Linked DNA regions of Danio rerio. The protein of the gene in region 2 purifies or fractionates together with the protein of the main gene of each other region. This does not show direct contact. Links are inferred from orthologs where the notes say so. Each region holds a gene or a part of one and is shown on either strand. Other genes may lie near its edges.

Region 1 (6,587 bases), on a different chromosome or scaffold from region 2:
TTATATTTTGCCCCACCTCTAAGTTCTTCTGATTGGTCCACTGCTTTGGTACAAACAGTGAGTGTCACTGCATGTTAAAGTTTTTTCTTTTTAACTTTTTTTTTTTTTTTTGTCTCTCGTTCTTTTTATCTTGCATTCCTTTATCTTGAATTCTTATCACCAAGTTTTTTTTTATCTCGAATTTTTAAAAATTATTTTGAGTTATTTTATTCCCCTTGTGTTCTTTTAACTTGGTGTTCTTTTAACCTGGCGTTCTTTAAACCTGGCGTTCTTTAAACCTGGCGTTCTTTAAACCTGGCGTTCTTTAAACCTGGCGTTCTTTTAACCTGGCGTTCTTTAAACCTGGCGTTCTTTAAACCTGGCGTTCTTTAAACCTGGCGTTCTTTAAACCTGGCGTTCTTTTAACCTGGCGTTCTTTAAACCTGGCGTTCTTTAAACCTGGCGTTCTTTAAACCTGGCGTTCTTTAAACCTGGCGTTCTTTAAACCTGGCGTTCTTTAAACCTGGCGTTCTTTAAACCTGGCGTTCTTTAAACCTCGCGTTCTTTTAACCTGGCGTTCTTTAAACCTGGCGTTCTTTAAACCTGGCGTTCTTTTAACCTGGCGTTCTTTTAACCTGGCGTTCTTTTAACCTGGCGTTCTTTAAACCTGGCGTTCTTTTAACCTGGCGTTCTTTTAACCTGGCGTTCTTTTAACCTGGCGTTCTTTAAACCTGGCGTTCTTTAAACCTGGCGTTCTTTAAACCTGGCGTTCTTTTAACCTGGCGTTCTTTAAACCTGGCGTTCTTTTAACCTGGCGTTCTTTAAACCTGGCGTTCTTTAAACCTGGCGTTCTTTAAACCTGGCGTTCTTTTAACCTGGCGTTCTTTAAACCTGGCGCTCTTTAAACCTGGCGTTCTTTAAACCTGGCGTTCTTTAAACCTGGCGTTCTTTTAACCTGGCGTTCTCTTAACCTGGCGTTCTCTTAACCTGGCGTTCTTTAAACCTGGCGTTCTTCTAACCTCATGTTCTTTTTACCTCAAGTTACTTTAACCTGGTGTTCTTTTTACACTGTGTTCTTTTTACCTCATGTTCTTTTCACCTTGTGTACTTTACCTTGTGTTCTTTTTATCTCGTTCTTTTTATCTCGAGTTCTTTTTACCTTGTTCTTTTAATCTTGTGTTCTTTTTACGGTGAGTTCTTTATACCTCGAGTTCTTATTTTGAGTTTTTTAACCTTGTGTTCTTTTTATCTTTATTTTCCCCTCTATCTCGTGCTTTTTTTTTTTTTTACTGCAAGTTCTTGTCTCGGGTTCTTTTTACCTCGTGTTCTTTTATCTTGCGTTCTTTTTTCCTCTAGTTCTTTTTACCTTGCATTTTTTTACCTGTAGTTCTTATCTCGTGCTCTTTTTACCTCGTGTTCTTTCTACCTCTTGTTATTTTTATCTTTTGTTCTTTTTACCTCGTCTTGTCTTTATCTCGAGTTGTATTTGTATAAGTTTTTTTTTATCTGAGTTCTTTTTATCCCCTGTTCTCTTATCTTGAGTTCTTTTATCTTTTGCCCCGCCTCCCAAGTTCTTTTAATTAGTCCACTGCTTTGGTACAAACAGTAATGAGCGCCTCTAAAAGTTTTTAAATAAAAGTTTGTTTATCCTGACACAGCGTCTTAACAATGCAGCACTTCAAAAGACTGAATACATTTAAAACTGCTTCTATCACATTTGTTTATTTATATTTTTTGAAAATTATATGATATACAAGTTAATATGTTATTCCAAAATAAACATAAAATTGACTTTAACTTTGAGAAGTTGAAATGCATAAAATCTAGCGTTTTTTGAGGCCTATAAAAATCCAAGCCGACTAAAATATAAAAAGTCCGATCCATAGTCTTTTTCACTTGCAATCATTAAAGACATTTAAAAACAAATCAGATGCTAAAAGCCAGAATTCTGGCTTTTTGATTGTTGCATCTATAAGGACGACCATATATGAAGAGCTGAATTCTGATTGGTTGTGGTGTTGTTGTTGTTGTTAGTCTGCTGTTGTCATGGAGATCCAAGCTGAGGAAGTTCCTAGCGAAAAAGCTGCGACAGGAAGCCAAACAACTCGATCAGGAAGCGAGGTAAGCAATCGTAACAGTTTGCTTGATGCGTAATTATTTATGCACGTTTAATTATCAACTGTTTATTTTTAATGGGTGTTCAGCTCGGATGATGAGCAGAGTGACACCGATGAGAAGGAGAGCAAGAAGAAGAAGTCAGAAGAGAAGAAAGAGGAGGAAGATGAAGACGAGGCGATGGAGAAAAAGCTGACAGAGCTGAAAGCAGAAGAGTTTGCTGAGCTCAAACGGTACAGTTTTAGCATTTGATGATTATTTTGGTGTTATGTGAATTTTCTTTATTCTTTATTTCTACAGCGCCTTTTACAAGGTAGATTGTGTTAAAGCAGCTTAACATTGAAGTCCTAGTAAATTGAAACCACTTCAGGCCAGTTGTTACACTTGGAAGTTCTGTTTAGTTCAGTTAATGTTAATTAATTTATGTAAATGTCACAGCTGAAATGCTGAATTTACACGAGAAAACCCAACAATGCGCAATTTTACCAAAGAGTGTTGATATTTTTAAGCAATAAAACAAAATGGCCATAACAAGATGTATGGATGTGTGTTCTAGCGAAGATTTTATCCTGTTTTCACGTTATTTTAGGTGATTTTTTTTGTTGTTGTTGTTATTTTAGTTTTTTACTTTTTTTTATAAACTAATAAACAATAGATTTATAATAATAATAATAAATAATAGATAAAAAATACAAATATGCAAATTATATATTATATATACAAAATATATGAAAAAAATGACAAATAACAGATTTTTTATAAGCTTTTTTTATGAACTTACACATTGTTTATGGAATTAATAGATTTATATGAATAAATAATAAATAGAAAATGATAAATGGAAACCACAAATCTACTCTTCTTCTTCTTTGGCCTTAGTCCCTTACGCCCTATTCACACGGGGCGTCAGCGTCAACGCTTCCCATTCACTTTGAATGGGTGACGTCAGGCGTTGCCGAACTGCATTGTGGATCCGTCGGCGGCGCTTCAGAAGCGTTCCTCGCTGCAGAAGTTGGGACCAGCTCAACTTTTCAAGCGCCGACGGAAGCGTCAGCCAATCAGATCGCTGTATGCAAATACACCAGCTCAGACAGTGGCCTATTGCTGACTGAATTTCATTGGCTGACGCTTCTATGACGATCGTTTCAGCTCCAACTTCAGACACGCCCTCTGTCAAGCGTTGATGCTGAAGCCCCGTGTGAATAGGGCGTTATGGTTGCGGGGTTGGCTCTTTGGAACAAGTCCTCCATTTAGACTTGTCCATGTGATAAGGACTTTTTTACACCTTCCGGCCGGCCTGTCGTCTGGGCCTGTCACCCTCATACACTCAAACACTCACACACTCATACACTATGGACAATTTAGTCTACCCAATTCACCTGCACCATGTCTTTGGACTGTGGGGGAAACCGGAGCTCCTGGAGGAAACCCACGCGAACGCAGGGAGAACATGCAAACTCCACACAGAAATGCCAACTGAGTCGAGGTTCGGCCCAGCAATCTTCTTGCTGCGAGGTGACAGCACTACCTACTGCGCCAATGCTTCGCCCTAGAAAATAAAATCTACTAAACAAATAATATACGACAAATGATGACAAATAACAGATTTTAAATGAAAGCTCTCGCTCGGCCCTTGGTCTAACCCACACTGGTCACAGCTACCAAGCCGACCAATCACAGAGCTTGTGTTACGCAACGTTGCGAGGTGTTCGTACATTTTTTTTTGAGAGGTTTGTGTCAGCGTCAGCATCAGCCACGGCGAGAGCTATGCCACCCGAAAGCTGTGTCGGAGCATATGCATAATGCAGAAGTGTAAATCAGCCGTAAAGGCTCTATCTTGACCATCCAAACGCAAAGTGCAGGGCGCAAAAGCATTAAGGGCGTGTCAGAATCCGCTTTTGCTTTTTTAAGTACGGAAAAATCCGCTTTGCGCCGTGACGCATGGTCTAAAGCCTGGTTTATACTTCTGCGTCAAGTGACCGGCGCAACCAACGCGCTTAGCTGTGCATTTATACTTCTGCGCGCTGTCTCTGTTGGTCTGCATTAACACTTCAGAAACGCTAGTTGGCAGTGAGGTGTTAATGTTCCTCTGTGTCGAGTTTCTTCGCTGCTGTTTTGCTTTTCCTGAACACTTCCTGGATGTACAAGTGACTCAAACTCGCTTATTTTGAGGCAGGAACCGGCGGACGTGCAGCAACTTTAACTATGAGGTAAACACAAAACAAAACTTTCCATCCGGAGCTCCTTCACGGGACTCCACACTTGTAAACAATCGCTCCATTTGGGCTAACGCCGCTCGCGCGGCTCTCGGTCCCGCCCAGACTCGTCAGCGCTACAAAGCCGACCAATCACAGAGCTTACGCAACGCGTTGTTGCGACATGTAGTTACATTTTTTGAGAGGTGCATGTCAGCGACGCCTACGGCCATGGTGAAGGGCTATGCGTCAGCGCCGTAGCATACGCCGGTGTTTGATGCAGAAGTATAAATCAGCCTTAACAGGGTTGAGCTTATTCTCTTAATGAGTTATAGGTGTGTTTTGAGAATAAACCAATCAGAGCCTCATCTCCCATTCCCTGTAAGAGCCAGTTGCGCTGTGCCATAGAGCGCGAATGCATTTGCTATTTAAACTGCGTGCTGCAAAACGTCAAAACGACTCTTGCATCAGGCTGAAGCAACAATTGCCTTGCGCCGGGTGTAGGATAGGGCCCTAAGTGTGTGTACTGTGTATATATATTATGTATATATATATATATATATAAATACACACAGGCCAACATATATTTGTGGAAATGTTTATATATAATGTTAAATTAATTTATTTTTAAATCTAAAATGTGAAATGATAAAATAATATTAGCTAAAATTGTTGCATAATTTAGTTTATATATAGTTTCTGTGTGTGTGTGTGTGTGTGTGTGTGTGTGTGTGTGTGTGTATCCCATATGCATATCAAAAATATATAATACACAAATATTTTATCAAAACAAACTCGGATGTAATTAATCTTTGTTCAGCACTTATTTTTAGCTAGTAACAACATTAGCCTTTCATTTTTCACCAAATGTGTGTGTGTGTCTGTGTGTGTGTGATCAGGAAGAAGAAGAAGCTGCTGAAGGAGCGTCGTAAGCAGCGGGAGCGTGTGGAGCTGAAGATGGATCTTCCAGGAGTGTCGATCGCAGACGCTGGCGATTCCTCCATGTTCAGCCTCGGCAGCATCAGGAAGAGCCAGGCAAGAAAAGCACCGCATCCCAAATGACAAACTATACGGCAGTGGTCTGGACACAGACCTGGTGCAGTTGCAGTCTTCGCTGCATCCGATGCCCACACTTAACCCCACCCCTCACAGTGACGTCAATAGCTCCATTGAGCGCATTGTGTCTGACATTGCAAGTTCAAGACTTGCAGTTTCAGCTTGCGTAATCGAGGCTGCATCCAGATACTTTTGAACTATGCACTTTGTACTCACACACTCGACAGCATAGTGTATGAATGTAGTGTCGTCCCAATTGGAACACTAATGATTTTACTAACCGGAAATTCAAACCACATCCAGACCACATTTGACGGTTGCCAAATTGCCGAATAAATGCGCAAACTACCAAATAATAATCGTAATAACCACGTTCACCACCAGGAGGCGGTATAATCACTTATGCAGGAGAATTGCTTTCACAATCCAAAATAAATTAAGTAATCAAAGGTCAGCACCCCATTGCTGCACCCTGTTAATCTGTAGCCCCTCCCCTTCACTAGCAGCTCCGCCCCTTTTACTACGTGAGCAAAGCTGTGACCGCTGCTTATATTGTTTATACTACAAAGTGGCGCAGAATAGTGCAGAAACTCTGATCCTGCTCACCCTGACTCTCTCTCTGTGTGTGTCTGTCTGTCTGTGTGCGTGTGTGTGTGTGTTGTCCTGCAGGGTCTGCATCAGCTGGCTCAGGGTGATATGTCTGCAGCAGACGCTCTGCTGGAGGATGACGAGCAGGAGGATGTTCATCTGTCTGATGAAGAGCAGGAGGACGAGCGCATGTCTCTGGCCTCAGACCTGGACTCTGATGACCTGCAGGAGATCCAGCAGAAGGAGGAGCAGATGCTCAAAAACAAGCCCAAGAAGAAGAAGAAGTACGGCTCCGCTGCAGTTTCTCTTTGAAAACATTAACAGTTCATATGAAACTACGTTTATAAATAAAATTGATGTGTTTGTGTGCAGAGTGTCGTTTGAGCAGCAGGATGATGGTGACGAGGACAATAAAAACGAATTGCTTGTCGAGCTTGAAGGAAAAGACGAGAGGAAGGAGCGCGAGACCAGCATGTGGTTCAGCAAGGTGAGAATCTGTACCGCTATACTGGCTAAACAAACTCAGGATTGCTGAATTAGTTTCAGGCTAATTAAACCAAACAAGTGCAATCTGAACTTAATCAGAACATATCCTCAACATAATCAAAGCATAATCAGATCCAGAACATTAACCGAAAATAACTAGAACAACAT
Region 2 (6,687 bases):
TTCTTTTTGTACAGTCTTGCGATTTACTGTTTTGCCAATGGTGTGAAATACAGCTTTGTATGTTTGCTGATGAACAATTCAGATTGTTGTTTAGAGAATTGCTGGTGTATATGGAGCCCTGGCGCCCCGCTCGAGTTTTACACGACTTTTATACAGGGGTAATAATTAAAAAAATAATAATAATATATGGTAATTTTCTAATGAAGTTGAGGGGTTAAAAGAGAGCTGAAATCCAGTCAGTAAAAGACTCTTTTTGTATTTGTATTGTGTATAGTTTGCTAACAATTGTGTATATGTGCCTGTACATATTGTGAAGGGGACGTGCTCCTTTTTTTTTTCTCCTCCAACTTGGACAGAGTTACTGTCTCCATTCAGGAGAAATTGCGAGCCAAAATGTTGACATGAGTGAAATGGATCATTTGTATCTGGAAACAAATAAAGCTATAATTTTAACAATGAAAACTTGCTGGTTTGAATGTTATATATCTAAAGAATATGAACAGTATTTTAAAACAATGGATGTTTCAAAATCTTTTTTATTTATTTATTTTTTTTATTTATTTTTTTAAAGGAAATGACAAATATCTTGCTTCTGCTTGTTACATATGTTTATTTTTGTACTCATTTCGGGATTTAAAAAAAATGTATTTAAGTTTCTATGGCTGATTTTAATTTAGGTATATATATTTCCTTTTTTCAATTTAACCCTTGTACACTGTTAACTGACTACCCTTTTGTTATGTTCGAGCTGAAAACATTCACTGAATTAAACTGCTGTAAAACTGCATCAGATAAGTATTTTTTTCAAAATTATTATTTTTTATAAATCTGTTAATCAACCTCAGTCCTGATCAAAACTACTAAATTGTTTAGAAAATTACAGGATTTGAACTCTTTAATATGCAAATTCATAAATGACGTCACTGATTTGGTGAAAAAACACATAAAATTATGTATTTTTAATACATAAAAATACATACGTGGGCTTTTTTACTTATAACACAGTCTTGCATGTGAAAGATTAGTAACAACATTGGCTTTGATAGATTGTTAGATTTTTATTTTTTTTCTCCATATTTTACCGGTGGTGGATGTTTTTGCCCCATTGACTTCCATAAATGTGTATATGTGCCTGTAAATATTGTGAAGAGGACATGCTCACTTTTTTTTCCAACTTGGGCAGAGTTTTTTATATCTGAATTTAGGCCTATATATTTTCGGATTTAATTTAACCCTTGTGCACCAATCAAATTGACGACGTTTTTGTTATGTTTAAGCTGAAAACACTTTACTGAATTAAACTGCTGTAAAAATGCATCAGATAAACATTTTGTCAATTTTTTGCATTAATCTGTTAATCAACCTCAATCCTGATCAAAACTACTAAATTGTTTAGAAAATTACAGGATTTTAACTCTTTAATACACAAATTAATAAATGATGTCACTGTTTTGGTGAAAAAACACATAAAATTATGTATTTTCTAAACAATTTAGTAGTTTTGATCAGGACTGAGGTTGATTAACAGATTTATGCAAAAACAAATGTTAAAAATATTTATCTGATGCATTCTTACAGTAGTTTAATTTAGTGGATGTTTTTATCCTGAACATAGCAAAAGGGTAGTAAATTTGCCTGGAGAGTATTGTTGAGTTTTTAAAAAAATTAAATAAAATTTAAAGCATTTTTTTCACAATATCTGCCAAAAGATTTGTCAGCAAAAATCATTCTGCTAGCCAAAACACAGAAAAGTTTATGAGCAAATTATAGACACAAAATCATTTCAGAGTGGATTAAAACATCCCTAACAGTACATAAGGGTTAATTTATCATTTTAGTATGCTGTTTAATTAGTTTTTTATGCCTGTATAAACTCAAAAAAGAACTTTTGCTGCTTGTTCAAATTATTTAAAATGAGCCGAAATGGGACAACTTAATTGTTTTAAGTTAAATCCACTTAAATTTGTAAAAACAAATTGGTTAACTTAATCGACTTGTGTTGAGACAGCATGAATAAACTGTGTGGAACCCAGCATTTTTGACAGTGTAGTTTTTATTAGTTAAATGTTGCATTTGCAATTAGCCAAAATATTATTATTTAATAGTTCATGCAATACATTTTTAATGGTTAAGCTATTTTTGGTTAACAATAAAAACCTTGATATGAGAAAGTGAAGAATTAAAAAACCTCGAGAGAAACCAGGCTCAGTTGGGCACGGCTAATTTCTCTTCTGGCCAAACGTCTTCTGCAGTCTAGGCGCCAGAGGCTGGAGAAAAATAACAATCTGTTAAAGTTTTACATTTAAAACTGTGGCTTATTGTCATTTATTGGGCTAATAAAAAACTGGCCAACACATAAAATTTTCCTCAGTTTCAGAATTTGGCCATTTGAATAAAAAACAAAAAACCATAACAATAATAATGTATGCTTCACGATTTTTCTAGGTTCTCGTAAAAAAGTACATTTGAAAATTCATTGATAACAACAATAACCTAATAAGTATTAATATGGACCACTTTTGGCTCTTCACAACTTTTTTTCAAGAATAAGGTCCAAGAGTTAGAATAAAAGTTGCTTATGAATTGTTTTCTCTATAACAACAATACAGTGAAAGTTTCGCTTGTTCTTAAAGCCTTTTCGATGGGTTATTTTGATAACTTATCATGGAATAAATAGGACAAATATTGGACCTTTGTCAGTGGAGTTTAGGTCTTTCCCGATTACTTGTAGCTAAACACAGTAGAAATAAGTTATAATTTACTTATTTAAAGTAAAAACTTTTGGAGAAAATAAAGTGAAAAAGGTCAATGCTGAGGAGAGTTCAATCTTACAAGTGTTTTTTTCCCCTTTTTCCTTCACTTTCGTCAATTGGAGAAGTTTGTTCCTCACCACTGTCGCCACTACCTTGCTTGGTTTGGGACTTGTGGAGCTGCGCATCGATGGATTTGCTTTTCAGTGTTTGGACTTTCAGCAGTAAAATTAAACTGCACTGAACTGAACTAAACCAAACTTCAGCTCTAAAAACTGGACTGACACTATTTCAGTTTACTTGAACTTCTATTTTTAAGCTGCTTTGACACAATCTACATTGTAAAAATTCTATAGAAATAAAGATGAATTACATTTTTTAATGATTTTTTTATAGTTGCAATACAAAGTGTGTTTACAATTTTATGAAAATTATTGTAGCCTATATCTTATATTATAAATAGCCTATTTTCTTAAGATTAGGAGAAAAAACTCCCTATAAAAAACTCGATAAAACTATAATTGAATATGGAAGTTAAAAAATGTATCTTATGAAGTATCTTCTCGCTGTATAAATCTCTGCGGTTGGAAAATAGCAATGTTTTTTGGATGTTCAATAATGTCAGTACGACGTTGAGAAAATAAAGTAGCTAAATATAGCATAAATAAGCTGATTTGGTGTGCATATTATTAGAGTTTACCAATGAGGATATTTACTCACAGTAGTGGCGGCCTCTGATGTCCAAATGTCCTCGTGCAGTCGGTCCCATTTCAACCGCACGAGCTGCTGTCAATACAGCGCTGAGCCTCAGTGCGCATGCTCAGAACCAACTGAGGCGAATGTGCGTGAGGTGACAGCTGTCCCGATGATATCGATGAACGGTGAGAATGTTTTTACTAAAAAACAGCCAAACAAGCAGTATCACGTTAATTCCTGTGGATGTATTATGTGTGTTGATGATGAATGCAACAATGTCGGCTTGTTCGAGGGATAATATGACGCTTGTTGTGATGACCGGAGCTTGTGCTAGCGGTAAAGCTAAGCGCGAGCACGTTTAGAGGATCTAATGTTTGAATATGCACAGATTATTCCTTTCGTTTGAATCATTCGTTTGATTGTTGATTAATGAAGTCATATAGCCTATTGTCGATGTGAAATTCTCGATATTTTCAATTCATGCTAGTGGTTTGCCCTCATATGTAGTGAATTGGGGGTGGGGCGTCCATAACAGCATGTCTAATATATATTATGTTATGTGATATTCTTCTCTCTGATGCATGGCAGTATCCAGCAGTGATAACAACCTTCCCCAGAACAGCCACGGCAAAAAGCAGAAGAAGAAAAACAAGAAGCACCGCAAAGCAGCAGTAGCAGCGGCAGTGGAGATCTCTAGTTTGGAGCTGGGGTGAGTGTGTGTGTGTGTTCAACTGGGCAAAATCGAGATCTGGGTTTCTGCTCTGTGAGATGCTGCTAAAAATATATAGGAGGGTGGCCATGGGAGTCACTTCTCCAGATAAGCATATTGACTCATGGCCCTCCCTCCTGGTCCATGCACGTGGAGCCTATTTTAACACATCCTTGGAAAAAAGATCTGAACAATACACATCAGGTACATACTGCATGTATGTGTGTTGTGTAGATGATTAAAATATAACATTGATATAGAGCTTTGCAATATTACTATATATATATATATATATATATATATATATATATATATATATATATATATATATAGTATGGACAAAATAAAAAGTATCATCTCATATTACGCTTTATTGTTTATTTCCCCTGCATAATTATCACATTCTCTTTGTATCATATTCTAAGAAGGCATTATATTTATATTAAAATGCAAGTGATTTAACTGCATTAGTATTAAATTTAATTAAATTAAATACAATATATATCACATGAGCAAAATAAAAAGTTTACCGTTTCATATTATGCTCTATCATTAATTTTGTGGTATCAAAATGTGAGAAAGTTGGAATTTTGAAAAATCTGAACAACACACACCAGGTACATACTGCATGTATGCGTGTTGTGGATAGTAAACACAAATTGTGCACAGGTATTGTCCAAAATAATTTTTTTTTGGGGTAATTATTAGTTTGGCACATGAAATTTCAGTACAACATGAAACAACCTAAGGAAAAAGGCAAGTGATTAAAGTATAACAACAATGATATAGGGCTGTGCAAAATGACAAAATGTATAGTATGGACAAAATAAAAAGTCTATCATCTCATATTACGCTCTATTGTTTATTTCCCCTGCATAAATATCATATTCTCTTAGTATCATATTCTAAGAAGGCATTATATTTATATTAAAATGCAAGTGATTTAACTGCATTAGTATTAAATTGATATAGGGCTGTGAAATTTGACAATATATATCACATGAGCAAAATAAAAAGTTTACCGTTTCATATTATGCTCTATCATTAATTTTGTGGTATCAAAATGCGAGAAAGTTGGAATTTTGAAAAATCTGAACAACACACACCAGGTACATACTGCATATATGTGTGTTGTGGATAGTAAACGCAAATTGGGCACAGGTATTGTCCAGAATACAATTTTTTGGGGTAATTATTATTTTGGCACACATGAAACAACCTAAGGAAAAAGGCAAATGATTAAAGTATAACAACAATGATATAGGGCTGTGCAAAATGACAAAATGTATAGTATGGACAAAGTAAAAAGTCTATCGTCTCATATTACGCTCTGTTGTTTATTTCCTCTACATAATTATCACATTCTCTTAGTATCATATTTTAAGAAGGCATTATATTTATATTGTCAGCATGACATATACAGTTTAAGTTGTTGTGCACTGAAATTAATGAACAATATTATAATGTTTAAAAAACTATGTAGGCTTAATGCTTATAAATAATTCTTTTGATGTACCTCATTAATCAGACAACGTTTTGAGAGATTGTGCTAATCAATCAGTCTGAAAAAAAGTGTTACTTTAAGGAAATATTTTGTAGATATGATTATTTTGGTGTCGTTGCGCACAGATTAACATCTAAAATTCACTTATTTTGGCTAATTATTAATGTCAGACACTGAATTTCAGTACAACACAAAAACTGGGGGGCTGCTGTAAATATTTAGTTGGAACAGCGTTACTTTTAAACTACGTCCAATGGTGCAACACAAAAATACTTAGTAGTGTGTAAGTTGTAACTAAGTGTCTCTTTAAGTCACAACTAGGCTACATTTTGGCAGACACTAAATTTCAATACAAAATAAAAAAGTAATAAAGCAAATGATTAAACTGCATTGGTATTACTGCGAAATTGAGCTTTGCAATATGATGATATATATTGTAAAGAGCAGGGGTGTCCAAACTCGGTCCTGGAGGGATGGTGCCCTGCAGATTTTAACTCCGACTTGCCTCAACACAGCTGCAAAGATGTTTCCAGAAAACCAAGTAATGCCACAGTCACACTGGACATTTTTCCCCAGAGACTTCCATTCATATGCACACCAATGCGTCAGACCAGAAACACAAGCTCATGCAGCAAGTTTCGCAGTTCGCTGCATTGCAAAGTTCGAGCTTGGTGAACTCTGACCTGCGAAATCGCATGAGTTGGTTTTACGCAAACATGACCTCTTTGGACAGAAATTTAAAATATGGACCAATCGCTCACTTTTAAAAATGCCTAATCGTCTTGTTTAATCCCGCCTCTTTTCACATCGCCTTATAACAGAATTTTGTCAAGTTTGCATTTCTTCACCTATTAATGGATGACCATGAAAGACTGCCCACATTTGTATGTTACTGTTTAACTTCTGTGTGAGCAAGTGTGTAATAAAATACAAACTATGCATCTAGTTTTATAGACACCAACAGTACAAACCTGCGGTTCATTCCGTTGTGGCGACCCCTGATTAATAAAGGTACTAAGCCAAAAGAA

What was found.
Region 1: the proteins of srpk3 (region 2) and ftsj3 purify together in Homo sapiens (affinity purification with mass spectrometry; 3 studies listed by BioGRID and IntAct, with this or other methods). This does not show direct contact. The link is inferred for Danio rerio from reciprocal best matches to the Homo sapiens genes SRPK3 and FTSJ3.

The regions. Positions count from the first base shown.
Region 1 is NC_133197.1:3,319,825-3,326,411, forward strand, and holds part of ftsj3 (pre-rRNA 2'-O-ribose RNA methyltransferase FTSJ3), read left to right. Parts: intron 1-2,013; coding exon 2,014-2,100; intron 2,101-2,183; coding exon 2,184-2,327; intron 2,328-5,188; coding exon 5,189-5,324; intron 5,325-6,014; coding exon 6,015-6,217; intron 6,218-6,305; coding exon 6,306-6,420; intron 6,421-6,587.
Region 2 is NC_133183.1:9,842,167-9,848,853, forward strand, and holds the start of srpk3 (SRSF protein kinase 3), read left to right. Parts: upstream 1-2,091; 5' UTR 2,092-3,495; coding exon 3,496-3,631; intron 3,632-4,034; coding exon 4,035-4,155; intron 4,156-6,687. UniProt on the Homo sapiens protein: Serine/arginine-rich protein-specific kinase which specifically phosphorylates its substrates at serine residues located in regions rich in arginine/serine dipeptides, known as RS domains.